Linked DNA regions of Macaca fascicularis. The protein of the gene in region 1 purifies or fractionates together with the protein of each later gene. This does not show direct contact. Links are inferred from orthologs where the notes say so. Each region holds a gene or a part of one and is shown in the gene's direction. Other genes may lie near its edges. The genes, in order: CHD3, BCL11B, MTA3, SMARCC2, KPNA1, ZNF512B and CDK2AP1.

Evidence for each region.
Region 2: the proteins of CHD3 (region 1) and BCL11B purify together in Homo sapiens (affinity purification with mass spectrometry; 3 studies listed by BioGRID and IntAct, with this or other methods). This does not show direct contact. The link is inferred for Macaca fascicularis from reciprocal best matches to the Homo sapiens genes CHD3 and BCL11B.
Region 3: the proteins of CHD3 (region 1) and MTA3 purify together in Homo sapiens (affinity purification with mass spectrometry; 4 studies listed by BioGRID and IntAct, with this or other methods). This does not show direct contact. The link is inferred for Macaca fascicularis from reciprocal best matches to the Homo sapiens genes CHD3 and MTA3.
Region 4: the proteins of CHD3 (region 1) and SMARCC2 fractionate together in Homo sapiens (co-fractionation; 3 studies listed by BioGRID, with this or other methods). This does not show direct contact. The link is inferred for Macaca fascicularis from reciprocal best matches to the Homo sapiens genes CHD3 and SMARCC2.
Region 5: the proteins of CHD3 (region 1) and KPNA1 purify together in Homo sapiens (affinity purification with mass spectrometry; 3 studies listed by BioGRID and IntAct, with this or other methods). This does not show direct contact. The link is inferred for Macaca fascicularis from reciprocal best matches to the Homo sapiens genes CHD3 and KPNA1.
Region 6: the proteins of CHD3 (region 1) and ZNF512B purify together in Homo sapiens (affinity purification with mass spectrometry; 3 studies listed by BioGRID and IntAct, with this or other methods). This does not show direct contact. The link is inferred for Macaca fascicularis from reciprocal best matches to the Homo sapiens genes CHD3 and ZNF512B.
Region 7: the proteins of CHD3 (region 1) and CDK2AP1 purify together in Homo sapiens (affinity purification with mass spectrometry; 6 studies listed by BioGRID and IntAct, with this or other methods). This does not show direct contact. The link is inferred for Macaca fascicularis from reciprocal best matches to the Homo sapiens genes CHD3 and CDK2AP1.

Annotation. Positions count from the first base shown.
Region 1 is NC_088390.1:7,972,685-7,976,262, forward strand, and holds part of CHD3 (chromodomain-helicase-DNA-binding protein 3), read left to right. Parts: coding exon 1-126; intron 127-607; coding exon 608-673; intron 674-1,123; coding exon 1,124-1,209; intron 1,210-1,359; coding exon 1,360-1,493; intron 1,494-1,625; exon of another isoform or gene 1,626-1,764; intron 1,765-2,054; coding exon 2,055-2,199; intron 2,200-2,370; coding exon 2,371-2,533; intron 2,534-2,627; coding exon 2,628-2,749; intron 2,750-2,854; coding exon 2,855-2,990; intron 2,991-3,102; coding exon 3,103-3,204; intron 3,205-3,391; coding exon of another isoform or gene 3,392-3,394; coding exon 3,395-3,520; intron 3,521-3,578.
Region 2 is NC_088381.1:167,343,965-167,348,177, reverse strand, and holds the start of BCL11B (B-cell lymphoma/leukemia 11B), read left to right. Parts: upstream 1-1,379; 5' UTR 1,380-1,589; exon of another isoform or gene 1,590-1,865; 5' UTR 1,866-1,980; exon of another isoform or gene 1,981-2,151; 5' UTR 2,152-2,368; coding exon 2,369-2,426; intron 2,427-3,730; exon of another isoform or gene 3,731-4,213. UniProt on the Homo sapiens protein: Key regulator of both differentiation and survival of T-lymphocytes during thymocyte development in mammals.
Region 3 is NC_088387.1:79,328,964-79,332,541, reverse strand, and holds part of MTA3 (metastasis-associated protein MTA3), read left to right. Parts: intron 1-3,228; coding exon 3,229-3,375; intron 3,376-3,578. UniProt on the Homo sapiens protein: Acts as a component of the histone deacetylase NuRD complex which participates in the remodeling of chromatin.
Region 4 is NC_088385.1:62,968,071-62,971,648, reverse strand, and holds part of SMARCC2 (SWI/SNF complex subunit SMARCC2), read left to right. Parts: intron 1-1,217; coding exon 1,218-1,293; intron 1,294-1,461; coding exon 1,462-1,593; intron 1,594-1,698; coding exon 1,699-1,814; intron 1,815-2,192; coding exon 2,193-2,317; intron 2,318-3,578. UniProt on the Homo sapiens protein: Involved in transcriptional activation and repression of select genes by chromatin remodeling (alteration of DNA-nucleosome topology).
Region 5 is NC_088376.1:160,809,303-160,812,880, forward strand, and holds part of KPNA1 (importin subunit alpha-5), read left to right. Parts: intron 1-3,185; coding exon 3,186-3,311; intron 3,312-3,578. UniProt on the Homo sapiens protein: Functions in nuclear protein import as an adapter protein for nuclear receptor KPNB1. Binds specifically and directly to substrates containing either a simple or bipartite NLS motif.
Region 6 is NC_088384.1:120,103,193-120,107,379, reverse strand, and holds the start of ZNF512B (zinc finger protein 512B), read left to right. Parts: upstream 1-1,326; 5' UTR 1,327-1,462; intron 1,463-1,618; exon of another isoform or gene 1,619-1,764; intron 1,765-2,040; 5' UTR 2,041-2,731; intron 2,732-3,246; 5' UTR 3,247-3,248; coding exon 3,249-3,369; intron 3,370-3,675; coding exon 3,676-3,818; intron 3,819-4,179; coding exon 4,180-4,187. UniProt on the Homo sapiens protein: Involved in transcriptional regulation by repressing gene expression. Associates with the nucleosome remodeling and histone deacetylase (NuRD) complex, which promotes transcriptional repression by histone deacetylation and nucleosome remodeling.
Region 7 is NC_088385.1:130,400,085-130,404,224, reverse strand, and holds the start of CDK2AP1 (cyclin-dependent kinase 2-associated protein 1), read left to right. Parts: upstream 1-1,314; 5' UTR 1,315-1,511; coding exon 1,512-1,566; intron 1,567-1,909; exon of another isoform or gene 1,910-2,233; intron 2,234-2,836; exon of another isoform or gene 2,837-2,939; intron 2,940-4,140. UniProt on the Homo sapiens protein: Inhibitor of cyclin-dependent kinase CDK2. Also acts as a component of the histone deacetylase NuRD complex which participates in the remodeling of chromatin.

The DNA of each region.
Region 1 (3,578 bases):
ACTACTGGGAGAAGCTGCTGAGGCATCACTATGAGCAACAGCAGGAAGACTTAGCCCGGAATCTAGGCAAGGGCAAGCGGGTTCGCAAGCAAGTTAACTACAATGATGCTGCTCAGGAAGACCAAGGTGAGGACTGCCCCAGATGCAGGCAGTAAAAGTGGGGGAAGTGATGATGAGAAGGGACTTAAGGCTGGGGCTACTTAGAGAGTAAGAGAGAAGCCTAGAAGTCAGAGCCTTTCCCTGCTAAAAGGGAAAGACGTAAGGTAGAGTCATTAGGAACTACCCGGAGGCCAGGTGGGTTTGCAGGTGATTTAAACTATTTGGTGGTTGCACAGGCATCCTGTGGACACCCAGGGCCACTGCTTAGAGTAGGTTTGGCAGGAGAACCAGAGGGGCCCAGAGACTGAAGGTGGGCGGTGAATGGAGATGCTGTAGGATATGCGGCTCCCAAGTCAGACTTCAGGCAGTGACCTGGCGTTCCCAGAAGGGCCAAGGCCAGAATAAAGGTAGACAAGTCTCGGCAGGGAGGAAGCCAGCCAGAAAGGGCCCCAGCATGGGCATATCCCGAGAGACCTCCCTGACCACTGGGCCCTCTCCACCCCCACAGACAACCAGTCAGAGTACTCGGTGGGTTCAGAGGAGGAGGATGAAGACTTCGATGAACGTCCTGAAGGTGGCATCTGTGTTCCTGACTCTTACCTCTTACCATTTTATTTTTCAGTTTGCTTTAAGCCCACTGTTTTTGTACAAGTAAAAAATCTTTGTGTGTGTGTGGAAAAACTCCATTGCAGATGAGCAGAAAGGAAGCAATGTTGATAGTCTCTCCACTAGTAAACTTCGGTTTGTGTGACCACATAGACTAGATCAAGAAAGGCTGAATCATTTTCCATTTCCACTGGTAATCTGGGCCTTTGTCAGATATCAGCTATTAATTTTAAAATATGACTAGTTCTTTTACAGTCACTGGGTTAGTAGTTCTGAAGTGCTTGGGAGAGAATTGGGAGCACCTCAAACATGATAGGAATGTTCCTGTGTTCTGTGTCTTGTGGGAATGGGGTGCTAAGGAGGACTGAGGCTTAGAGGAGGTGGTGGATCAGCTAATTGATGTCATCCCCACTCTCAGGGCGTAGACAGTCAAAGAGGCAGCTCCGGAATGAGAAAGATAAGCCACTGCCTCCACTGCTGGCCCGAGTCGGGGGCAACATTGAGGTGAGAGCTGGGCCCAGTGTTCGTGAGTTCTCCAAGGAGAGCATGAGGGCAGAAGGTTGGAAATTGGGGCCTGGATCACTGAGGGTAGAAAGGACAAGACCTAAGAACCCTGGACATTTGTCGCCATTGCCTCGTTGCCCCCACCCTCAGGTGCTGGGCTTCAATACCCGTCAGCGGAAGGCTTTCCTCAATGCCGTGATGCGCTGGGGGATGCCACCACAGGATGCCTTCACCACGCAGTGGCTGGTGCGGGACCTGAGGGGCAAGACTGAGAAGGAGTTTAAGTGAGTGTGGGTGATGCAGGGCTGAGTTGGACGCAAGGGTAAGAGCTTTGGGTGTTCCATTCTTCCTTGGGGCCGCCATATGATGTGACCTTACTCAACTGATTGTCACCCTCCCTACCATACAACGCTTCCTGGCTCGATTTCCTGGGGGGTGGTCTCAGCCCACCCCACCTCCCCTCAGCCGAGCCTAGAGTAGAGGGGCCAGGCATTCTCCCCAGGGGAGAGGTGTTGAAGCAAGGAACCTCTCCTGGGCTGTCCTAGCCTCACATTTACTTGGCCACAATCACCTGGCAGGAGGAGCTGGTGGAAAGGATGAAGAGCTGACTGATGGGGCCCAGGAATTAAGTACCAAGGCCAAGGGGATAGGCCAGGGATGGGGCGCAGGGGCACGGTTAGGACTTGGAGGGCTGGTAATGGTGAGAGTGAGAGGCCCAGGGGAGGAGCCCTGGAGCATCTGGGGATTTGGGGACTTGGGGGTCCTCAGTCATCCTTGCATCTTCCTCACTGCCCTATACCCCTTCTGTGGCTTCCCTAACCGTCCTCCCACCCCATGCTTCTTAGGGCCTATGTATCTTTGTTCATGCGCCATCTGTGTGAGCCTGGGGCAGACGGCTCTGAAACCTTTGCCGATGGGGTCCCTCGGGAGGGACTGAGTCGCCAGCAGGTGTTGACCCGCATTGGAGTCATGTCTCTCGTCAAGAAGAAGGTATCAGTCTTCCTCTCACCCAAAAAATCAAGCTGGCTGCCTAGTCTCTGTCCTTCCTCTGCCTCTGTCCCTGAGTTGTAAGCTCGCGCTGGTGTGAGACGGAGGAGACTGGAGTTTCCTGTCTGTATGTCTGTAAGTGCCTGGAGCTGACACCTGTCCTTCCCACCCCAGGTGCAGGAGTTTGAGCACATCAATGGGCGTTGGTCAATGCCGGAACTGATGCCCGACCCCAGCGCTGACTCTAAGCGCTCCTCCAGAGCCTCCTCTCCTACCAAAACGTCTCCCACCACTCCTGAGGCTTCTGCTACCAACAGTCCCTGCACCTCTAAACCTGGTAATCAGAAATCAGGATGGTGGGAGAGACAGAAAGGGAGCCAGGAGTCAGGGCAAGAGAACCTCTGTCTTTATCACTGTGCCTTCCCCTGCAGCTACTCCAGCTCCAAGTGAGAAAGGAGAAGGCATAAGGACTCCTCTTGAGAAGGAGGAAGCTGAAAACCAGGAGGAGAAGCCAGAGAAGAACAGCAGAATTGGGGAGAAGATGGACACAGAGGTGTGTGGCTCCCTGGATTCCCCTGTGGAGTGGGAGGGGAGGGGGCTTGGAGGCCAGATGCCTGGGAGCCCTCCAGCTCATCCTGACCCCATTGTCCTCTTACAGGTTGATGCCCCCAGCCCAGCCCCATCACTCGGGGAGCGGCTGGAGCCAAGGAAGATTCCTCTAGAGGATGAGGTGCCAGGGGTACCTGGAGAGATGGAGCTTGAACCTGGGTACCGTGGGGACAGAGAGAAGTCAGGTGGGTGCATGGCCTTAGGAGTGATGGGGGATTAGAATTTGGGATGTCCCTCTTCTGGGGTCAGAGGATGAGGGTAACATCCTCCCTTCCTATCCCCTACCCCCTCCCACAGCCACAGAGTCGACGCCAGGAGAAAGGGGGGAGGAGAAGCCGATGGATGGACAGGAACACAGGGAGAGGCCGGAGGGGGAAGCAGGGGATTTGGGCAAGAGAGGTAATGGGTGGAAGGACCGGACACCTGGGTCCCTGAGGGCATCAGGGGAGGTGGAGTCTGGGGAACCAAATGCTTGGGTCCTGGGCGGGTAGCTGTTTGAAAGGCCAGGACAGCACAGTACAGATAGTAGTCTTGGGACCTGGGAGGAGGGTGTCCTGAGGTGTGAGCTTTCACCTGTCTGTCCTAGCAGAAGATGTAAAAGGTGACCGGGAGCTTCGACCAGGGCCTCGAGATGAGCCACGGTCCAATGGGCGACGAGAGGAAAAGACAGAGAAGCCCCGGTTCATGTTCAATATCGCAGATGGTGGCTTCACAGGTTGGGGAGACTCTTGCTGCTTTCTGCTCCTCAAGGGGATCTGCTCATCCTCATGGGG
Region 2 (4,213 bases), on another chromosome or scaffold:
GGGTGGGTGCAGCTGGACTCGCCCGCGAAGCCCAGCGGGAGCCAGGCCCCGACCCGCCCTGGCCGCCTCCGGAGAAACCCTGAGAATGGAGAGGAGGCCAGCCGCGTGGCGCGCCCAGCCCTGGAGGCCAGGTCATCAAATTCACAAAGTTGGCCGCAGCCTGGGGAATAGGGGGTGTCCACGGGGGCCGTGGTCCGGCCTTGTCCCCGGGCCACAGACAGGCCCCACAACTCCTCTTGTCCTCGCCGGCTGGAGATCAAACGGCTGACAAGGCAGCTGCGTCCTTCCCAGTCTGACAGGCATTTTCAAGTCCTACCCTGGGCCGAGGAGCGCGGGGGGCGGGGTGTGACTTTCAGGTTGCTGTGATTGTCAGGGGCGCCTCCTGGAGTCACCCACCCGAGTATCTGCGGAGATCTGGCCACACCTACTCCTGGGCCGGCAAGTCCAAGTCCCTCTCCCACGTGGAGCGCCCGGGCCCCTTACCCTCTCGCTTGCCATAGACCCGGTTTAGGGGGTGGGGCCGTGTTTGACCCCTAGGAGTTAATGGGGGTAAGGTGAGGGGAGGGGACAGAGATTTGAGTGAAAATCCTTTTCCAAATGGGACTCAAACAAGGTCTCAAACACTTCTCAGCCCCTCACGTGTTCTTGATTCTGTTCTTTTAGTGTCGTTTATTTTGTCTTCCTCACCCTCCCAGAGTCTGTAATACCAGGATTTATATGGAGACACTTTTTGGAAGTTGAACTCCAACATCCACCACCCCGCCCCCGCCCGCGACCATAAAACAAAAGTAAAAACTTCCAAGCGACTTTTCCACGGAAACGAAGCAATTCTTACTGTCCCCCAACTCCCATGTCGACCCCAATCCTTTTCCACAGTCCACGCCCCCACCCCCAAAGTCCAAGTCCGAAAGAGCTTTTGGGCGGGTGGAGACTTGTATTGATTCAATTTAGTTCACTCACACAGTACCCCGGCCCCCTTCTCAGGGGGTCCTGCTCCCAGGAGGGAGGCGATATAAGGACGATTTTTCTTTTATTTTAAAATACGCTGCCCAGTGTCCCCCCCCCCAACCCCCTCCTGCTTTTGCGCAGCCGGGGCTGGGGGGAGATGAGGAGCGCACAAAAACGCGGTTTGCACGTGTGTCCGGCTTGGGCTGCGGGTGTGCGCAACCGGCGACTGTGTGTGTGTATGTGAGTGTGTGCGCGCGCGCGAGTGTGTCTCTGTGTGTGCTTTCTTGTTCTCTTACAGGGTACAATGTTAAAAAGCCACCGCTAGTCGCCCCCAGTGCTCCGACTCTCTGGGTCTTTTTGTCTCTAGTGCAGATTAAACGTCACGTCCGCACTTGAACTTGAATTTTATCCCATTGTACAGAGGCAGCCCCAGCCATAGAGAGACCGAGAGCTCCCAGAGAACCCGGACTCCGCCATCTTCACGTTGCAATCTATAGCTCCCAGTCTGCGCCCGCACCGACCCAGGCGCACTGGGCGAGCCGCCCCTCCGCCCCGCTCCCCCCGGGCCCGCGGCGCCAGGGGAGCGCTGGGGAGCGCTCGCGGGGACTCGGCAGCCCCTCCGGCCGGCGCCAGCCTGCCAGGTGAACTGGGAAGGAGCCTCTCTTGGTGTCCCCCCAGAGCCTCGGAAGGGTCAGTCTCCGAGAAAAAAAAAACAAAAAACAAAAACAGGCAGCCCGCAGAAAAACCCAGAAACAACCGAACCGGGGCAGTTTTACATTGCTTTGGGTTTTTTGAGGGGGCGGGGTGAGGGGGTACGAGACAAGTCCCCAAGTTTTCTTTGCTTTTTTTTTCCTTTGCTTTTTCTTCTTCTTTTTTTTTTATTTGTTTGCATTTTTTTTCTTTTCCCCTCCTGGTAGAAGTGCGCTTTCCACCTACCAGACCCTGAAAGAAAGTGTCAGGAGCCGGTGCAAAATCCAGTTTAAGTTCAAGAAGACATTTGCAAGTGCAAGAGGCCAAGCAGTTTGAAGAAGTGTAAGAGATTTTTTTTCCTTCGAAAGAATATATTTTTAAAGAAACCAGCCAGTCCGCGGAAAGCAACAGCAGTTTTTTTTTTTTTTTTGCCTCTTTTTCTTATTTTAGATCGAAAGGTTTTTCTTGCTTTTCTTCCCTTTTTTTTCTTTTTGCAAACAAAACAAAAAACAGCATAGAAGAAAGAGCAAAATAAAGAAGAAGAAGAGGAGGAAGAGAGGGCAAGAGAGGAAGGGAAAAAAAACACCAACCCGGGCAGAGGAGGAGGCGCGGCGGCGGCGGCGGCGGCGGCGGCAGCGGCGCGGCGGCAGCGGCAGCGACTCGGACCCCCTCCCCCGGCTCCCCCCATCAGTGCAGCTCTCCGGGCGATGCCAGAATAGATGCCGGGGCAATGTCCCGCCGCAAACAGGGCAACCCGCAGCACTTGTCCCAGAGGGAGCTCATCACCCGTAAGTGTCTGCGGAGTGCGCGCGAGGGGCCGGAGATGGGGCTCCGGGCGCCTGGGGCTGGGGACACGGAGCCCGGAACAGCCGAGCCGGGCCAGGCGCCGGGGCCGCCCGCTGGCTGGCAGAGTCAACGGCGTCGGCCTGCAGCATGGCGGGGGGCGGGGGCCATAGGAAAGTTTCTTTGCAGCCGGGGGAGTTGGGGCGCCGAGCAGCCGGACGCGCCTCGGGCTCGGGGGCCTGCGAGGGGGCGTGCAGGCTAGAGGAGTGTGTGTGTGCGCGCCGAGCCCGGCTGGACGCTCGCCCCTCCGAGCGGCGTGTGTGGCGGCGGCGGCGCTGGTGGCGGGGTTTGGAGAGGAGGGGGAGGGAGCTGGGGGAGCGGAGGGGGAGGGGGGAGCCGGGAAGTGGGGAAAAGTTGGCGAGCGCGTGGGTCCGTGCTGACGGCGCGGGCGGAGGAGAGCGGGGTGCGCTCGGGCTGGGGGAGCCGTAGGGCCAGGGGCGGCCGCCGGCTCCGGGTTCCCGGTCCCTGCGCCCGGCCCAGCAGGGTGCCGGCCACGCCGGTCCTAGGATTCCGCAGCCGCCTTTCTCTCCCCTCCTCCTGCTATTTGCAAAATAATCCAGCTGCGCGGCTGTTTGCAGGGCTCAAGCCCCCCTCCCCACCCCCCATTTCCCCACCTCCGTCTGTCTCCTGGGATGATCTTGTCTTCTTTCCCCCACTTCAAAAAAGGTGGGGGGATTGGGGTTGGTGAAAAATCCCCGCCACGAGAAAAAAAAAAAAAAAAAAAAAGGTTGTCAGTTAGGAGTGGGAAGAGAGTGATGCGCTCGTAAAATAGTAAAAGAAAAAAAAAAAAAGAAATAAAAGGAGACCCATCAATCTCGTATCCATCTTTCTATCTCAGTATCTTTCATCTTTCCTCTCTAAATAAACAAGGCAGGTCGCAGTGGAAATCCACCGGCTGAAATCGTGTAGATTTCAAGCATGTGGCTGGGCGGGCAAAGTCAGGCAGCGGGGCTAGACAAGCAGCAGCTTCCACCGTCCCTGTTGGGTTTATTTAGCAGAGGGGAAAAGCGAGCGCGAGCGGGCCAGGTACGGTGTTTGCAGGGGAGCCCGCTCCGGGTCCCCGCACACTTGCACCGGGAAGGTGGCATCGCCGCGCTGCCCGCCCGCCGCAGCCCGCGGGGCCGCTTCTTCGCTGCGCGCGAACATTTCCCCGCCGTTCTTTCTCTCGCGGTGCCTGGGTCGCCGTTCCTTTTTTTTTTTTTTTTTTTTTTTTATTGCATTAAAAATAAAACATCCTCTGGGTGCTATCGAGACCGCGGGCAGGTTGTATGTCTGCAATCCGCCGCGCACCTCGCCGGGCTGGGGCCGGGCTGCCCGCGCGGAGCTAGAGAGGGCTGCGCGCCCAGCCGCCGCAGAGGACTGGCTGCGGGGCGGCCGAGAGCCGAATATTTATGTTATATTTTAAAAAATTTAAATAAATAAATAAATATATAAAGGGGTTCTCCCCTCCCCTGAAAATCCAGCATAGGAGCCATCTGCTCGGAGCAATTGCTGTTGCCATCTCTCCTTTGTTGCAGCAGATACATTAGTAAGAATTTGTGGATTTATTATGATTTTTTTTTGGGGGGAATAGAAATTAAAGTGGGATTCGCCTTGGGAGAGGGATGCCTCTTTGGAGGGAGGGAAGAGGACTTCTCTTTTATTTTTCGCCATTGTAACATCAAAGAAGACTCGCCGGCTGCATTTAAAACAAAATGTTTTGCAGCCAGATTTGAGCTTGGTTTGATCAAGG
Region 3 (3,578 bases), on another chromosome or scaffold:
TTTTCAGTAAAGTGAAATATGTACTCAGAGTTGCTTTGACAGAAAGATTTATAATTAAGAAATGTTCAGACTGCAGACATCAACTCTTTTAAAAATCAATTGAATTTGGTATATTATCTAGTCCTTACCCGAATGTTCCAGGAGTCAGAGGCTCAAAGCTTCTTCTTTGATATTACTCTACTATCTTATTTCTTGCTTTCTTTCTTTCCTTCTTTCTTTCTTTCTTTTTTTTTTTTTTTTTTGAGACGGAATCTCACTCTGTTGCCCAGGCTGGAGTGCAGTGGTGCAATCTCGGTCACTGCAAGCTCCACCTCCTGGGTTCACACCATTCTGCTGCCTCAGCCTCCTGAATAGCTGGGACTACAGGCACCCACCACCACACCCAGCTAATTTTTGTATTTTTAGTAGAGACGAGGTTTCACCTTGTTAGGATGGTCTTGATCTCCTGACCTCATGATCCACCTGCCTCAGCCTCCCAATGTGCTGGGATTACAGGCATGAGCCACCGCACCCAGCCATTTCTTGCTTTATTTTTCAGGGGTTAAAGAGTTGTTTTGATATCCCCTGAAAATGTCACATGGTTATTGTAGGCATGACCTAGGTAATGGTGGTAATGTCCTTGAAGAGTGCTGTCTGTATTCCCTGGCAGAACTGACTCCTAGATGCCCCTTCCCACCTTGCATGGGAAAGTTTCTGATCACAAAAAAATAGAATAGGCCAGGCATGGTGGCTCATGCCTGTAATCTCAGCACTTTGAGAGGCAGGCAGATTGCTTGATTCCAAGAGTTTGAGCCTGGGCAACATAGCAAAACCCTGTCTCTACCAAAAATACAAATATTAGGCAGGCATGGTGGTGCATGCCTGTGGTCCCAACTACTCAGGAGGCTGAGGTGGGAGGATCAATCGCTTGAGCCCAGGAGGCAGAGGTTACAGTGAGTTGAGATTGTGCCACCACACTCCAGCCCAAGCGACCAGTTGAGACCCTGTCTCAAAAAAAAAAAAAAAACAAAAGAAAAAAGAATATAACATTATTAGCCTTTCCATGAATAATTGTGTGCTCCTACTGTGGGTAAATTGGTCTCTATATCTGCCAGATAGGCCCACACTGTGCTGTTCTTACTAGCTGAACCACATCCCTACACAATATATTTATGAGTATTTATATGTTGAAAACACTGTACTAAGTGATTTGGGAAACACCAAGATGGGTAAGACCTTGCCCTCAAAATTCTTAGTGTAGTGGGGAAAGCAAGCAGGTAAGAAGAATAAAACAAAGGATTAGATCCTATAAAAGAATTACAGGTAATATGTGTTGGGCACTTGGAGGAAGGACTGTTTTTTTCTTTTTTTCTTTTTTCTTTTTTTTTTTTTATTTGAGATAGAGTCTCACTCTGTCACCCAGGCTGAAGTACAATGTCTCCATCTCGGCTCACTGCAACGTCCACCTCTCAGGCTCAGGTGATCCTCCCACTTCAGCCTCCTGAATGACTGGGACTACAGGTGTGCACCACCACACCTCGCTAATTTTTAAAAATTTTTGTAGAGATGGGGTTTCACCATGTTGCTCAGGCTGGTCTCGAACCTCTGGACTCATGCAGTCTGCCTACCTTGGCCTCCCAAAGTACTGGGATTACCAGAGTGAGCCACTGCACCTGGCCAACCAGGGAATTTTTTCTAATGAGTGTTAGGGCAGCCTACCTGAAGAAAGTAATAGTTAATTTCAGACTTAAAAGATACTTAGAATTCAAATAGAAAAATAGGAAAAGGCCGGGCGCGGTGGCTCAAGCCTGTAATCCTAGCACTTTGGGAGGCCGAGACGGGCAGATCAGGAGGTCAGGAGATCGAGACCATCTATCTCGATGGTCTCGAGACGAGAAGAGATGGAAACCCCGTCTCTACTAAAAAATACAAAAAACTAGCTGGGCGATGTGGCGGGCGCCTGTAGTCCCAGCTACTCGGGAGGCTGAGGCAGGAGAATGGCGTGAACCCGGGAGGCGGAGCTTGCAGTGAGCTGAGATTGCGCCACTGCACTCCAGCCTGGGCGACAGAGCGAGACTCCGTCTCAAAAAAAAAAAAAGAAAAGAAAAATAGGAAAAGCATATTCTCTTCCCTCATAAGGCCAAGAGAACCAGATGAACAAAGGTTTCAGTGAGTCCAAGGACTTGAAAGCAGCTTGTCTGGTGTGGATGGAGCATAGGCTGTGGAGGTTAAATGAAACGCAAGGCTGGCAAACTTGTCATGTCATGTTGGAGAAAAAAAAAATCACTTTTTTGGGTGGCAGTATTCAAGCCATTTCTAAATTTTGGCAAATGTGGGGACTTTGACCAGAGATGTAGTAAGTCTAACAATTCCAACGGCTTTTCCTAAATTCCAGTAAATAAGGGCGATATCTCAGCCCTTACCTTCAGTGAAAGGGTGAGAAGACAGGATGGCTTGTGTGTAGTTGGCCAGCTGCATGATGACTCTGAGAATCGGTGAGCTGGTTAAGCTTTAGAAAAAGGCTGCCCAGCTTTAGTAGTAAACTGAGGTTCTTAAATCCAGTTCCTACAGTGTTACGGTTTCTGTCCATCCACAATAAGAGCAAGTAGTTCTGGGCTGTATGGCTAACAACAATATACTTTTGTTAAATGTGCATATGCCAGTTTTGTGATATATCCTTAGATAAAGCATTTCATCTACCTCTTGACTATTGGACTTTGGTTTCAAGTTTCATCTATATCAAAATGTTCTAGGCTGCGAGTAATTGATCCTGGTCCCATACTCTGTCTGGTTACAGAGCCAGAGGAGGAATCCTGTTTTTCAGAAAGCTCACATACCTGACATGGTGACTGGTTTGACAGAGCACAGAGGTTTTTTACCCTCCTCGCCCCAAGGCTACCTCTCCAGATAGCCTTTTGATGTCTAATATCTTGAGGAGTCAGATGCCTTATTCCCTTAGTAAATCACATGTTGTATGTGACCTTCTGAAGTGGCTTTTTGTTTTGTTTTTGCTTGTATTCACAACCCGAGGCTCAGAGCTCCAGCCAGCAGGGGAAAAACCAGCTTACTTGATAAGCAAAGCCATGGCAACACCACTTGAAGCTGACTCATTATGCAAGTCCTTGGCTGGCTCAGGAGGAACTGACTCTCAGCTCATTAAGTAATAAGATGTGTGCCTATTAGCCAATGTAAGTGCACATAGATTTTTAGTATCATGTTCTGAATTGAGAAACCTTTTTCCCCCCACAGAGATCCATCCTGCAAAGAAACCTAATGTAATTCGATCTACACCAAGCCTGCAAACCCCAACTACCAAGCGGATGCTAACAACTCCAAATCACACATCTCTGAGCATTCTGGGGAAAAGAAACTATAGTCATCACAATGGTCTGGATGGTATGTAAGCCCAGGAATTCTGGAGGCTGTTCTGACAGAGTGCCTCCACACTCAGGCATGTGTCTGCCACATCCAAGAATATATTATAAACATGTTCTTGTGCTCCATGATTGAAGTATGTGGTTGAGGAATAAGGGGGAATATGACCATATGCCACATTTTGCCAAGGGATTGTTCTCCATCCCATCAGGAGGTACCTATTT
Region 4 (3,578 bases), on another chromosome or scaffold:
AAAAAAAAAAAAATTAGCAGGGCATGGTGGCGCACGCCTGTAGTTTTAGCTACTCGGGGGGCTGAGAAGTAGTATAATCGCTTGAACCCGGGCAGCAGAGGTTGCAGTGAGCCAAGATCACACTGCTGCACTCCAGCCTGGGCGACAGAGTGAGACTCTGTCTCAACAAAGCAAAACAAAAAATAGCACATAGGCTGGGTGCAGTGGCTAATGCCTATAATCCCAGCACTTGGGGAGGCTGAGGCGGGCAGATTGCTTGAGCCCAGGAGTTTGAGACCAGCCTAGGCAACATGGTCAAATCCTGTCTTTACAAAAAAAAATACAGAAATTAGCTGGGCATGGTGGCACACACCTGTACTCCTAGCTACTTGGGGGACTGAGGTAGGAGGATTACTTGAGCCCAGGAGGTTGAGTCTGCATTGTGCCATGATTGCACCACTGCACTTTAACCTGGCCAACACAGCAAGACCGTGTCTCAAAAAAAAAAAAGTAGTGTGTAAAATATCATCTAGTATGATTATGATTATGTAAAAACAAAATTGTGGACCAGGCACAGTAGCTCACTCCTGTAATCTTAGCACTTTGGGAAGCCAAGGCAGGAGGATCACTAAAGGCTGGAAGTTCGAGACCAGCCTAGGCAGCAAAGTGAGACCCTGTCTCAACAAAAACAAAAACCCCGGCTGGACGCAGTGTCTCACGCCTGTAATCCCAGCACTTTGAGAGGCCAAGGTGGGTGGATCATGAGGTCAGGAGTTTGAGACCACCCTGGCCAAAATGGTGAAACCCCGTCTCTACTAAAAATATAAAAATTAGCCAGGCATGGTGGCAGGCACCTGTAATCCCAGCTACTCAGGAGGCTGAGGCAGGAGAATCGCTTGAACCCGGGAGGCGGAGATTGCAGTGAGCCGAGATTGCGCCACTGCACTCCAACCCGGGCAACAGAGCAAGAGCAAGACTCCGTATCGAAAAAACAAAACAAAAATTACTGTGAAAAAACATATATACATGTGTCAAGAGTAGTTATGTAAGGGTAATTCTTTTTGTTCTCTATTTTTGAAATGTTTCGTAATGTGCTTTTACTTCTTTATAATAAATAGAATACCAAAAAAAAAGCCAACCCAATACTTTCTGTAAATGGAAAGGATAAAAGATTTGCACTTCACTTTTCCACAATTCTATCCCATTGATTCTACTGTGTGCTCAATTTCCCATGGCAGTTATGACACATGGATCCCAGCGAGTGAAATTGAAGCATCTGTGGAAGATGCTCCAACTCCTGAGAAACCTAGGAAGGTGAGCTTTTCTTGTACCCCCTCTTCCCCAAAAAGAATGCCAGGAGCAGTCTACTCTTGGAAAGTGAAACAGAGGCTCGTGTGCCCTTGGGCTTTTTCTGTTAAGGGTCCCCAGACAGAGCTGTGGCTTCCAGGCTTCTCTGCAGCATGATCTGCTTTTGTACTTTAGATTCATGCAAAGTGGATCCTGGACACCGACACCTTCAATGAATGGATGAATGAGGAAGACTACGAAGTAAATGATGACAAAAACCCTGTCTCCCGCCGAAAGAAGATTTCAGCCAAGACATTGACAGATGAGGTGACAAATCCTGTTCTTTTTTCCTGGTGCCCTTAGCATAAGTCTCAGAACAAATCTTCATTGGGGATTGTAGGCTGACATTTGTCCCGATTCTCCATCCTATAGGTGAACAGCCCAGATTCAGATCGACGGGACAAGAAGGGGGGAAACTATAAGAAGAGGAAGCGCTCCCCCTCTCCTTCGCCAACCCCAGAAGCGAAGAAGAAAAATGCTAAGAAAGGGTGTGCCAGCCCCTAGCCTGCCCCCGAGTTCACCATTCTCTCCACATCATGTTGAAGGAAGGAAAGACAAATCCCTTCCTATAACCACCTGGCCCTGACCTGGGTGTGCCGTAAATACTGCAGGTGTCCTGAGAGGGAAGATGAGGAGATCTTTAGCTACTCAGTTGTTAGTTCTGGTCCTGGCGCCACTAGAAATTTAAAGAGAGCTTTATCAAATGAAAAGCCTTTGCCACTTCCGATTAGTCTGTGATTACTGGTTTCTGTTTGTACTCAGCTCTACCCTTGGAATTCTCTGTCACTTCCCTTCCCTTGAACTTCAACTTCCAGGGACTCCTTGTCCAAGGATGACTGAGTTCTCTTTCACTCTTTCCTTCCCAGTCCCTCAACACCTTATACTAAGTCAAAGCGTGGCCACAGAGAAGAGGAGCAAGAAGACCTCACAAAGGACATGGACGAGCCCTCACCAGTCCCCAATGTAGAAGAGGTGACACTTCCCAAAACAGGTACAGGCCAGGCTGAGCTCCTGGAATCCACCCCTACTCCCCATCCTGATTCTCCTTTGCCGAACCCCGAGTGAGCTGATTTCTCAGGTCCAGCTCCCAGTCTACAGGATCCACAATTTAGTTTTTACATAATCATAATCATACTAGATGATATTTTACACACTACTTTTTTTTTTTTTTTTTTTGAGACGGAGTCTCACTGTGTCATGAAGTCTGGGGTGCAGTGGCGTGATCTTGGCTCACTGCAAGCTCCGCTTCCTGGGTTCATGCCATTCTCCTGCCTCAGCCTCCTAAGCAGCTGGGACTACACGTACCCACCACCTCACCTGGCTAATTTTTTGTATTTTTAGTAGAGACGGGGTTTCACCATGTTAGCCAGGATGGTCTTGATCTCCTGACCTCATGATCCGCCCACTTCGGCCTCCCAAAGTGTTGGGATTACAGGCGTGAGCCACTGCACCCGGCCTGTACATGTACTATTAAGTCACTACTGTGGGAACGTTATAAAACACAAACATATCTAAAAAACTGAAAAATGTAAAAAATGATAAACATGAAGTATCCAGGCACAGTGGCTCACCCCTGTAATCCCAGCACTTTGGGAGGCCGAGGCAGGCAGATCATGAGGTCAGGAGATCGAGACCATCCTGGCTAACATGGTGAAACCCTGTCTTTACTAAAAATACAAAAATTAGCCAGGCGTGATAGCACACGCCTGTAATCCCAGCTACTTGGGAGGCTGAGGCAGGAGAATCATTTGAACCCGGGAGGTGGAGCTTGCAGTGAGCCAAGATCGCACCATTGCACTCCAGCCTGGGCGACAGAGCAAGACTCCGTCTCAAAAAAACAAAACAAAAAACAAAAACATGAAGAGAAATTCTGTATTCTCTTCCTGAGTTGCAGTGGATCATCTTTTGCATCCTATGTTAGAACCCCACTTTGGAGACCATTGCTCCACCAATGCTGGTTTACAGTCTGTATTCTATAGACTCACCCCAGGTATTCCAGACGTGTGTTTCAGGGGTAGGATTAGGGGTGCCACCAAGAAGAGTTCTGGCTTCCACCTCCTCATCAATCAGCTCTCCTCTCTCTGTTTGCTCCTGAGCATATGCATATGAATTCAGTTGAGGAAAGTATGCTTTCAAAAACATTTAACACCTAACCATTCCTCCACAGAATGATTTGGTCAGATTCAGTATCAGACCATTAAAAGCTTACAGATACATAGATGGAGATAAAGACCTATCAAAGACAAGAATGA
Region 5 (3,578 bases), on another chromosome or scaffold:
AGTATCTTTCTGTCCCTCACCCACCTCCATATGCTGTATGCTTTTGCCGTATTTGTTCCTTAAATTGGCTGTGGCCACTCTCAGCTCTGAGCTTTAACACATGGTTTATTCCCTCTGCCTGGAACATATGCCTTCACTGCTACCCCTTGCTCTGACTGCCACCTCACACATATCCATATTCTCTACTCCTAATGTTTTCTTGTTCTTGAATTCTTGGTATTATCATTATTTTCTCTGAGAATGCTTGTTTGACCCTAAACTTTTAAGTTAGGTACTTACTCTTTTTTCTTCATCCATCAGAATACTAATCACATTGTATTGTAACTAATTACTAGATTTTAAGATTCTAGAGGTAGATTATGTCAGTGTTTATTTCTGTGCCTCTGTAAATCTAATAATTTCTGGCACAATATATAGGGACCTAAAGAATATTTATTGAATGGAACGAAGTTCTGAATCTATACGTCTAGTTCTGATCTATCTCACGTTTCAGTCCTATATCTGCAGTAGTCTCTTACATATTTCTGCTTGCTTTGCATATCTCACATACGTCTCGCAGTATGTCTTCTTTCCCCCACAAAGCAAGTTCCAAGTTTTTATTTTTCCTATTTCAAGTAATGATATAACTATTCTATTTACCTACACATGAAACTTGGCAGTCACATGTGGTGTCTTCTTCCCTTCTACTTTGTATAGCAAGTTGCCAGGTCTTCTTGATTCTTATTGTTACTAGATCCCCATCAAATTACGTTCTTTTGGTCCTTGTCACACACACAGGTTGTTGCTGTACCCACCCATCCTCCTACTCTCCTAAGCAGTTACTCATCTCAGTTTATTCCCCCTAATAACAACTGAATCTCTCCTGAAATAATGTTATTTACATTATCTTCTTTTAGAAACAATAAGCTGCTTTAGTGCCTGTAAGATAAAGAACCTTGAAAAGATTCAAAGGAATTTCTCCGTAAGATTTTAGTCTCATTCTTCTTTCTAGCCTATTATTTTTGGGGCATAGAACTCTTTCTTAATTAGCCTCATCATGGCCAGGTATGCTGGCTCATGCTTGTATTCCTAGCATTTTGAGAGGCTGAGGTGAGAGAATTGCCTGAGCCCAGGAGTTCCAAACCAGCCTGTGCAATATAGCAAGACCCCATCTCTAAAAACATTTTTTTTTAATTAGCTGAGCATGATGGCATGTAACTGGAGTCCTACCTACTCTACTCAGGAGACTGAGGTAGGAGGATTGCTTGCGCCCAGGAGTTTGAGGTTGCAATGAGCTATGATCATGCCACCACACTCCAGCCTTAGTGATAGAACCATACTGTTTCTTAAAATGAAAATAGCCGCAGTAGTCTGTTCTTATGATACTTTGTAATAGCTTGTCTCTGCATTTTTTCATTTCTTATGTGCAGTGTCAGTCCTCCTTTTTGCTAATGAAATCCTGTTGCCTATTTAATAGGCATAAAAGACTTGATTTTAATTTGCATTTCTTTCATTACTTATGAGATAATTTTCTATTAAAATTTTAGTTTCTCTTTTCAGTTTACACAAGGAAGATAGCAACCCTCTCATTTGTTGCAAATATTTTTCACATTGGATGGTGTACATTTTTAAAATCTTTTATGATTTTTGACAAGAAAACATTTGTTTCATGAAATTTTTGTTTTCTCCTATAATTTATTTTTATGCTCAGTCTTTTACCATCCCCAAATCAGCTATTTTCTAATATTCTGCTTTATGATTACTTTTAAAAATATTTACTCTTAAGTAGCTGCAAGTTTATTTTGGCAACTTAGGGTTTTTATTAGTCTGTTATTTCACTGCTATAAATACCTGGCCGAGTGCAGTGGCTCCCGCCTGTAATCCCAGCACTTTGGGAGGCCGAGGTAGGTGGATCACATGAGGTCAAGAGTTCAAGACCAGCCTTACCAACATGGAGAAACCCCGTCTCTACTGAAAATACAAAATTAGCTGGGCATGGTGGTGCGTGCCTGTAATTCCAGCTACTTAGGAGGCTGAGGCAGGACAATTACTTGAACCTAGGAGGCGGAGGTTGTGGTGAGCAGAGATGATGCCATTGCACTCCAGCCTGGCCAACAAGAGTGAAACTGTCTCAAAAAAAAGAAAAAGAAATACCTAAGATTGAGTAGTTTATAAAGAAAAGAGGTTTAATTGGCTCATGTTTCTGCAGGCCATACATAATGTGTATAGTAGCTTCTGCTTCTGGGGAGGTCTCAGGAAACCTAAAGTCATGGCGGAAGGTGAAGAGAAAGCAGGCATGTCTTACATGACCTGAGCAGGAGCAAGGAGTAGGGAAAGGTGCTCCATACTAGAACAGAACCATGGCTAACCATTCTTGGAGGCTCCACCCCATGATCTAGTCACCTCCCACTAGGCCCCACTCCAACCTTGGGGATTACAATTTGACATGTGATTTGGGTGGGGACACAGATCCAAACCATATCAGTGTTAAGAACTGATTTTGAAAAAATTGTTTTTAATCTATTTAGCTTTTTATTCCAGTTCTGTCAAAGCCACCAGTCATTGGGAGAAAGGGTTAATTTTTATTATAAACTTTATACATAGCTGCATTTGTTTTTAGAATAGATCTCTGTTCTCTTTGTTTAGTGATTAATTCTTAAACCTGCCATATACTATCTTAATCACACTTTTTTTATTTTTGTTTCTAGTAGAGTAAGTCTCCTTCTCCATGTGTATTTGTGTTACCTCCTTCACCTTTATAAACTGATAGCTGAGGTCATATCTTTTTTATCTTTGTATCCTATGAAGCACCTGATATACCTCATTAAGTACGTATTCGTTCATTGACTACCAAGTAGTGTGTTATCAGAGGACCTACAAATCTGAGACTCCTGACTTTTCTGGCCACTTGATATATTTATTTATCCATTCAGAAGACTTACGCTGTTGGGATGGGAAGGTGAATGAGTAATGCTATTGCAGTTACTAAGTACAATTTAGCCGTTGTGAATGTGTACAATGAAACTGGATTGATAATCTTAGAAACTAATTCTTATTAACAGTGAATACTTTTTTTTTTACCTGTATAAAGTTATTTATAAAATTTCAAGGGGAGATGTTATGTCTTTCATAAAATCTGTTCTTTAAGTTAAACATTTATATTTAGAACAATACAATAAGTAAAATTTTCAAACTTTTTCTTTTAGGTAATTCTGAATTGCTCAGCTCTGCAGAGTTTATTGCATTTGCTGAGTAGCCCAAAGGAATCTATCAAAAAGGAAGCATGTTGGACGATATCTAATATTACAGCTGGAAATAGGGCACAGATCCAGGTAACCTCATAGGACCTAACTTTTCTTTCAGTATTTTTATTGAAAAGTAAGGTTTTTTTCTCAGTCACCCTTTAAAACATATATTGTTTTCGGCTGGGTGTAGTGGCTCCTGCCTGTAATCCCAGCACTCTGGGAGGCTGAGGCCCGTGGATCACTTGAGGTCAGGAGTTCGAGACCATACTGGTCAACATGATGAAACCTTGTCTCTACTAAAAATACAAAAAATTAGCCAGTCGTGGTGGCAGGTGCCTGTAGTCCCAGCTACGT
Region 6 (4,187 bases), on another chromosome or scaffold:
TACTAAAAAATACAAAAAACTAGCCGGGCGAGGTGGCGGGCGCCTGTAGTCCCAGCTACTCGGGAGGCTGAGGCAGGAGAATGGCGGGAACCCGGGAGGCGGAGCTTGCAGTGAGCTGAGATCCGGCCATTGCACTCCAGCCTGGGCGACAGAGCGAGACTCCCTCTCAAAAAAAAAAAAGAAAGAAAGAAAGAGAGAGAGGAAGGAGAAAGGGAAGGGAGGGAAGGAAGGGAGGAAGAAGAAAGGAAGGGAGGGAGGGAAGAGAAGGAAGGGAAGGAAGGAAGGAGAAAAGGCAGGAAGGGAGGAAGGGAAGGAAAGCAAGAGAAGGAAGGAAGGGAGGAAGGGAGGGAGGGAACAGAAGAGAAGGAAGGAAGGAAAGAAGAAGGAAGGGAGGGAGGGAGGGAAGGAAAGAAGAAGGGAGGGAGGGAAGAGAAGGGAGGGAAGGAAAAAGGAAGGAAGGAGAAAAGGAAGGAAGAGAGGGAAGGGAAGGAAGAGAAGGAAGAGAACGAAGGAAGGAAAGAAAGAAAGAAAAAGAAAGAAGAAAGAAAAAGAGAAAGAAAGACAGACAGACAGACAGACAGACAGACAGGACAGGACTCTCCTGGGGGAGATTCTTGCGGGTCCTGTGCTAGTCCCGTGTGGGGCCTCCTCCGTCCTCTTTAGGAGAGCTACACCTTTCTCTGCCTCATTCAATTCTCAAGTCCTGTGGTGTCAGTGCCCCGTCGCCTCCAGACCACTCAGCCCACACCGGACCCCAGTGCCCCCTGCAGAAGCCCAGGATATGGGGCAGGGAAGGCCCTGGCACTGGTTCAGAACCACTGCCCCCAGAGCTGGGAAAGGTTGACCCAATGGTCAGTGACCCCAGTAAAGCTCCATGGCCTCAAGCCACCAGGCACCGCCAGGGGCCAGTCGCAAAAGTGGTCTCAGGGCCGGCTGGAAAGAGGCTGAATCCTGCTTTGCCGGTGCACGGCCCCCAGGGCCAGAGGTCAGGGACTCGAGCCCAGAGACCACCCTCGCCGCGCGGGCCAGGATGCGGCGGAATCAGGTCGCCTCAATCCGTGCGCGCCGGACTCCGGGCAGTGCCCAGCGCCCCTATCGGGCCTCAGTTTACCCCACTGTCCAAAAAACTCCCCGCGCCCCAGGACGGCAGAACTGGCTACTCCGGACTGCGGGCCCGGCCGACGGGGGCGGAACCGCGGGGGGGGGACCACAGGCCAGCGCCGGGCCCCCTCCCCGCCCCCTCCCCGCCCCCTCCCCGCCGCGGAGCGGCCGCGGGAATAACGCGAGAGTTCGCCCCCTCCCCCCCGCAGTAAAACTGTCAAAGGTGGGAGGGGCGGGAGCGCGCATGTGCGCAGCGCGGCGCGCAGCCTGCGCCGCCCGGACCCACCGCCCCGCGCCCCGCGCCCCGCGCCCCCCACCCCGGCCCGGCTCGGCCCGGCCGCAGCCCCGCTGGGCGCCGCAGGTAAGCGCCCGGCCGTGCCCCAGCCCCGATCTGGCCGCAGCCCCGGCGCCCACCGCGCCCCGGATCTCGACCCCGCGCGCAGGCCGAGGAGGGGGCCGGGCCCGGAGCCCCCCCGCCCCCCGCCGCGCCCGAGCCCCCGCGCCCCGCGCCGGCGCCGTCTTCCTGCCTCCTCCTTCTCCAGAAAAAGTCGCCATTTTGGTTCACTGCCTTCGCCCCCCCACCCCGCGCCCGCGATCGGCCCTGCCCGGCCAGGCCGAGGCCCGCGCCCCGCGCCCGCGCCCGCTCCCGGCCCCAGGTGACAGGTGGGTGGCGAGGCTGGCCCCAGGTGCGCGTCCCTGGCCGCGCTCACCCTCGCGCCAGGCCTGGGCCGGGGTCCCGGGCCGAACGGCCTACGCGGCGGACCCGCTGCTGGCGTCTCCTGCGCGCAGCGCGGCGGAGCCCCCTCTCCCCGCCAGGGCTCGGTGTGCCCGCTGGGCTCGGGAGGGCCGAAGCCCCTTCTCGCCCGGGGCGCCAGTCGCGTCTCTACCTCCCAGGCCGGCCCTGGCCTCAGGTCCCACTACTCTGAATTCTTCTCCCAGGCTTCAGAAAAATTGGGGCCACCGGGGTCGTCAGGTGCTGGGATGACTCATGCGGACCCTGTCTCCTTTCAAAGTTGCAAAGTGAGGACTTCCAGAGAACTTTGTGCCCGGACACTGGCCTCCCCCTTGGCAATGGGCAGTGACTGTCCTGACCTCTGACCTCAGCTCTCTGGCCCTCCTGGACACAGCAGCCCCTTCCCATCCCCTCTGATCTAAGTTAATTAGAAGGTATCAGGAGGGGGCCACCTGCCCACCCAGCCCTCACCCTGCTTCCTGTCCCACCTCTTTCCGTGGCTTTTCCACAGGGCTGAGCCCAGAGTCTCCTCTGCTCCCCAGCTCTCAGGATGGGGTTCCCAGCAGCACAGGACCTCGGGGGGGCCCAGCGTTGGGCAGCAGGGCATTCTCTCTGGCCAGCAGCCTGGGCCTTCACTGCTAGTGCTTCCACTACTTGTTTGGCTGAGGTGGTGGTAATGGGTCTGTGGGCAGGGGACTGAGAGTTCCAGAGAGAGATTGGGGGCGGGTCAGCCTGCCAGGCCCGCAGACAAGTCTGTGAAGAGGGTCGGGGGGATAGCTCAGCCAGAACAGAGACAGAAGCCTGGTGCAGGGCTGGAGTGGGCTGGGGGTCCTCAGTGCCCACCTTGGCTGTTTTCCATCTGTGTCTGGAGAGAAGATTCCAAGGGTACCTGCCTGGGTAGGTTGGCATTGCATCAGGTCTGCATGGGAGGGTACCAGGGCCCCAGTGAGAAGCTGTGCCCCCACTGCTGGGCCCGGGCAGCTTGTGAGCCAGCAGCCATCATCGGAGACATAATTGTCCCCTGGAGGAATGTTGCCAGCCTCCTTCCTCCTGCACAAGGCACCTCTCCCGGGGGCACACCCCTCCCAGCATCACCTCCAGCATCATCTCTGCAGCTATGGGGCTGTGTGTTGGGAAGGGGATCTGGAAGCTGGTGAGGGTCTCAGGACAGGACTAGATCCTTCCAAACTGATGACGCCTCCTGGGTTATCTGGGGAGACCTTGGCTGGCAGCCCCTCCCCTAAGTCAGAACCCCCCATCACTTGCTTTTCCCACGTGAACAAAACCACAGGAGGGCAGGCCCCTCTTCCCTGACCAGCGAGGACCTGCCAAGGGCGGGGCTCCAGGGCAGCCTCACTACGTGTTCTGAGTGGGGCCCGTCAGGCCTCACAGATTGTCTACTTGCTCCGCAGAGATGACGGATCCTTTCTGCGTTGGAGGCCGTCGGCCCCCGGGGTCCAGCAAGAGTGGTCCCGGGAAGGATGGCAGTCGAAAGGAGGTCCGACTTCCAATGCTGCATGATCCACCGAAGATGGGTAAGAGGAGTCAGGGCCAAAGTCAATTCTGGGCATGGTTCTGGGCAGCAAGGGGTAGGAGTGGGCCACGGCCCCGGGCATCCTGTCTCCAGGTACCCAGCTAGGCCCCTTGAGTTCCCAAGGACCTTACCAGGGGAAGGGTTGCCTTGGACATCGCCCAGGGCCCTGGGTTCTTGTCCTCAGCTGGCCACAGCCCCTGCTCCCGGTGCCCTGGTGTTGGGACAGTGGCGCTCACTGTGGGCCTGTGCAGCCCCCAGTGGTAGACAGTGCTACAGCTTCCGAGCCTTGCTGTGTTATGTGCTGCAGGGATGCCGGTGGTCCGTGGTGGACAGACAGTGCCTGGCCAAGCCCCTCTCTGCTTTGACCCAGGAAGTCCAGCCAGCGACAAGACAGAAGGGAAGAAAAAGGGGCGGCCAAAAGCCGAGAACCAGGCCCTCCGAGACATTCCTGTGAGCTCCCTCAGGGCCATGGTGGGGCTCATGCTGGGGTCTCCCTGTCCAGCCACTGCCCTGCCCTGATTTGTCCTCTGCACATCTGGTACCAACTCTGTGCCTCAAGGTGTGGGCACTGGCCTGGCAGGCTTCATGTGGTCTGGCTTTATATCTGGTGTGCCGGGAGATTCTGGGCTCCTAGAGCAGGTCTTGTGCATGGCCCCTGCTGGGTGGCTTGAATTCCCACTGCAGTCCGATGTTGAGGGGCTCATGTGGTGTGTGCACCCTGCAGGCCCAGGGAGGGCTCTGAGTGTGGGGCTCGGGCTGGCAGTGGCCCGGGTGGCTGCGGGTCAGCAGCACCACCTTTCCCCACACCTAGCTCTCCCT
Region 7 (4,140 bases), on another chromosome or scaffold:
AATCAATTTCACCGGTGTTTTTTTACTTTCTCAAATGTGACTACTGAAAAATTGAAAATTACTTATGTGGCTGGCATGCTATTTCCATTGGACAGTGCTGCTCTAGAGGACTAGGCGCCTGGGACCAGCCACATGGGTGGCATTAATTTATTCATGGAATAAGGTTTCACTGAGCATCCTTCGCTAGTGCTGGTCTACAGCTGATCTCAAGGGTGGGGGTTAAGCTGGGGAGGGGGTGTCGTCGCCTGCACCTTTGGTCCTAAAGGAGAAGGCAGGCCTGGGTGGGCATCCCTAGGTGGGTGCTTTTGTTACCAGATCCGGAGATGATGCTTGCACGGCTGTGTCTAATTAAATCTGCAAACCATGGCGATTAAAAACAACAGAAAAGGGTGGGCATCTTATGTATTTTAACGAGCTTTACTACTTCGGCAGAACTCCAAAATTAAAAAAAAAAAAAAAAAAAAAAAGAAAAAGAAAAAAAAGAGAACAAACCCACAACCTTTAGGTTATTCATCTAATCCAAATCCAAAATACACTCGATGATTACATTTCAATCAGATCCGAAGATGGGCTGGGGGTGGGGTCGAAGGAAGATTTAAATTGCCCCGTAAAACTCCAGGGGGTAGAAACTTTGCCAAGTTCAGTTCTTGTATCCTCAGCGCTTGGAACAGTGAGTGGCGCATAGTAGGTGCTTCCCTTAAATACTGGAGTGAGTCTACGCACGAAATTGTGCGATTCAGGGGTGAGTTTTCCGGGAAGGGGGATGAGGGGTGGAGAAGGCCTCTAGCTTTTGTCAGTCTCACAGGAGTCTTGGATCCCCAAAGGGTTAAAAACCACTTCATAAAGACAGGGACATGAAATTTATTTGAAATCAATGTCAAGCATCAGTTATTCGAATCCTGGGGCTTGGCCAGACCCGGGCGTCTGGAATGATCTACGTGCTTAAATACACCACTCGCCACCATTTTCTCCAGGTAATTTTCCATCCCTGCCCCCACCGTCAAGGGGAAGAAAGTGCTCCTCGGATCCCGGCCGCCCTGGCCTCCTGCAGCTGCCGCGGGGGCGGCCCCCAGTGCACCCCTGGAGCGCCCGGCGCGGGGCGGCCGCCCGGACGCGCGCGGGCCTCAGGCGCCGCCGGGACCCCAGCCCCCCAAACTTTGGCAAGTTGCGGGCGCCGAGCGCACCCGGAGGCGCGGGGCGCGGCCGCAGGCGGAGCCGCCCCCTGACGCCGGGCCGCCCCCTCCCGGCCCCGGCCGCCCCGCCGGCTCCGCGGAAAGTTTGCGGCCGCCCCTGCGCCGCGCCCGGGGCCTGGGTGAGACTGCGGCGGCGGCAGGGCGCGGACGGCCATATTTGCCGGCGCGGCCCGAGCCGCCGACAACAAAAAGTGCGCGGGCGCTCGGCGGGCGCTCGGACGGGCGCGGGGCTGCCACGCTGCCGCCCGGCCTCGCCGCCGCCGCCGCCGCCCTCGCGGCCTGGCCCCGCCGCGCCCGGCGCGCCCGCCGCCCGGGGGGATGTCTTACAAACCGAACTTGGCCGCGCACATGCCCGCCGCCGCCCTCAACGCCGGTGAGTGAGCCGCGTGCGACGCGCCCCGAGCGCCGCCAAGTTGGGGGTCCGCGCGCCCAGCCCCGGCCGGGGGATGCCGTGGGCGCCCGCGGAGGCCGGGGGCGGGGGGCTCAGGGTCCCGGCCCGGGGCAGCGCTGCCGCCGCCATGATTTCCGAGCCCGCGCCGCCAAAGTTCGCTGGTGCGCCCCGCACGCCGAGGGCCTTGGCTGGGGGTGCGGGGCGGGCGGCCTGGGGTGACCCCCGCGCCGGCGGCTGCGGATCGCAGGGAGCGCGGCGGGCGAGGGCGAGGGCGGGGGAGGCTTGTTCTCGTCTCCTTTTTCCTCCCGCTTCTGGGCGGCTCGGCGAGGGCCCCTGCCGGCGGGAGTCGGGAGCGGCCCGGGCCGCGCCGGGAGCGGGGAGCGGGGCGCGGGGCGCGGGGCCCCGCCGCCCTGGGGAGCGGGGTCGTGGAGCGGCCCGGGCGGGAGACGCTGCGGGCAGGGCCAGGCCCCGCGCGGGCCGGCGCGGGCGGAGGGCTGCGGGGCTGCCGCGGGCCCTGAGGTCGTGGGGCCGCCGGGACTGGGACCGGGATGGGGTCGCCGGTGGGCAGCGGACTCGGAGGCCGGGGGGCCTCGGCCGGGCGCGTGGGAGCAGGGACTGCCCCATGCGGTCACGCGGGGATCCCCGTAAGGTGTGCGCGGAGTGAACGAAGTTGGCGCAGTCCTGGGGCTGCTAGGGCCCGCGCGCGGGCGTGGGGGCAGGGGGTCACGCGGACGCCCCATCTGGGAGCCCCCAGGGCTGATCCGGGAAGGCCCTCGATGCAGAAGCCGGGAGGGGCTCCCCTCGACCTTCCTGGGGCTGCGGCGGCAGCCGGGCGCTCCCAGGAAACTCCTCCAGAAGTTGTCAGGCAGCTTCGGGCTGAGCCCAGGGGACCGAGGGAGCCATGGGGAGTGGGCGCAACATTGAGGGATTGGTAGGTGCCGGGCTTTGTGACCTCACTGGGGCCCCTCTTCTCTGACACTTGGTCGGAAACAGACTTCCCAAAAGGCGGTTGTGTTGCGGGGCGTGGGGGGTAAGGACTCGGAGGGAAAGGAGTGGCCCCGTTGGTCACCGGTGCCACGCTGGCTCTCCTGCTCGAGTTTTGGGCCTTGTTTGCAAACGTTGACTTCATAAACCTCCCACATCCGAAGTAGGACCCATAAAAACGATATTTAAAAAAACCTTGGACACTGAGGTGTAGGGGCAGGAAAGGGTTAATCGTCAGGGTGCTGAGGGAGAGTTGAATTGCTCACTTGTGGGCTCGGAGTCCCAAAGAGCAAACAGCCACTGTTTTCTTCTCAAACATTCTCACCTCCTCTGGGGTCCGCAGACCTTACAAAGACGGGCTTTGTTGCCAGGTAGGACTGCCAGCAGCGTTCTTCCTCTGGCCTGTGGGGAGGGCAGGGGCTGGTGTTGCCAGCCTGGGCAAGGCTGACAGCTCAGGCTTGACCTGGTGTCATTGGGGCCGGGGCCTTAAACTGGGACCTTCAGGGTTTGGGGTCACAGGGATAGCGGCACTCACGGGGACCCCTGAAGTCCTGTTCTGAGCTGGCTGCACCTGTATTCAGCTTTTCTTCTCTTTCTCCTGTGGAGAATTTCAGGAGTGCCGAGATCCCCAGATCTGGGCTTTTTGGTGCCCCTCCCTCTCCCCCATGGACCCTTTTGCAGAACCCCAGCTCCCCTCCTGCCATTTGCATCCAAGATGGACTCTCCGCTGCTGCCGCTGCTCCTCCGGCTTCCTTGTCATCATCCCTCACGCCCTGCAGCCCTGCCTCCTGCTCACGGGTTGCCAAGCCGCGGCCTGGCCGGTGGTGGCAGTGGCGGAGTTAGACAAAGCCCCCGCCTCCCCCGCCCCAGAGCCCCCCAGGCGCCCCAAGTGGCGGGAAGGCCGCCAGCTCCCCAGGCCCCGGCGCTCTTTGTCTGGCGTGGGGGCGGGGAGCCGCGCCTGGCCCCAGGAGCTTCCTGGCCTCTGCCAACCCCTCGCTCCTGCACACTGCGCTCATTGTCTGAGATGCGCCGAGACGGCCTGCGCTGACGTGGTCCCTGTGTCCCGGTCCCTGTGTCTGCAGGAAGGAGTGACCATGAGTGGAACTCGGGGCATTTCCGCCATCTCTCTCCAGGACTAGACACCCCCCACCCAACCCTGAACAAGGGACTGGCCTGGACAGAGCATTGGAGTCACCGAGCTATTGCTCCTCGTCCCCCCAGCCAAAATGGGACAATTTCTCATTCCTCCTTCCTCTCAGCCCCGCAAAACCTAACCCCAGTATCATCAAATAGTAGGGTCTGGAGCCTGTAGACCTTCTCTTGGGAAGCACTGCCTCTAACAAATGGAGAAACTGAGGACTGGAGGGCGGGGGGCCTGTCTGAGGTCACACAGCCAGGAGTGGCACAGCTGGGGCTGGCGCCAAGTCCAGTGGGGAGGACAGAAAAGGAGAGGTGAGGAGCAGTGGGCAAAGCAGTTGGGGAAGAGGACGGGGGCACACCGAGTTGATTCGAGGGTGCGTGGGAAGTGGCTAGCGCCCCTCCTGCCAGGCTGCTGGGATCTTGCAAACGCCC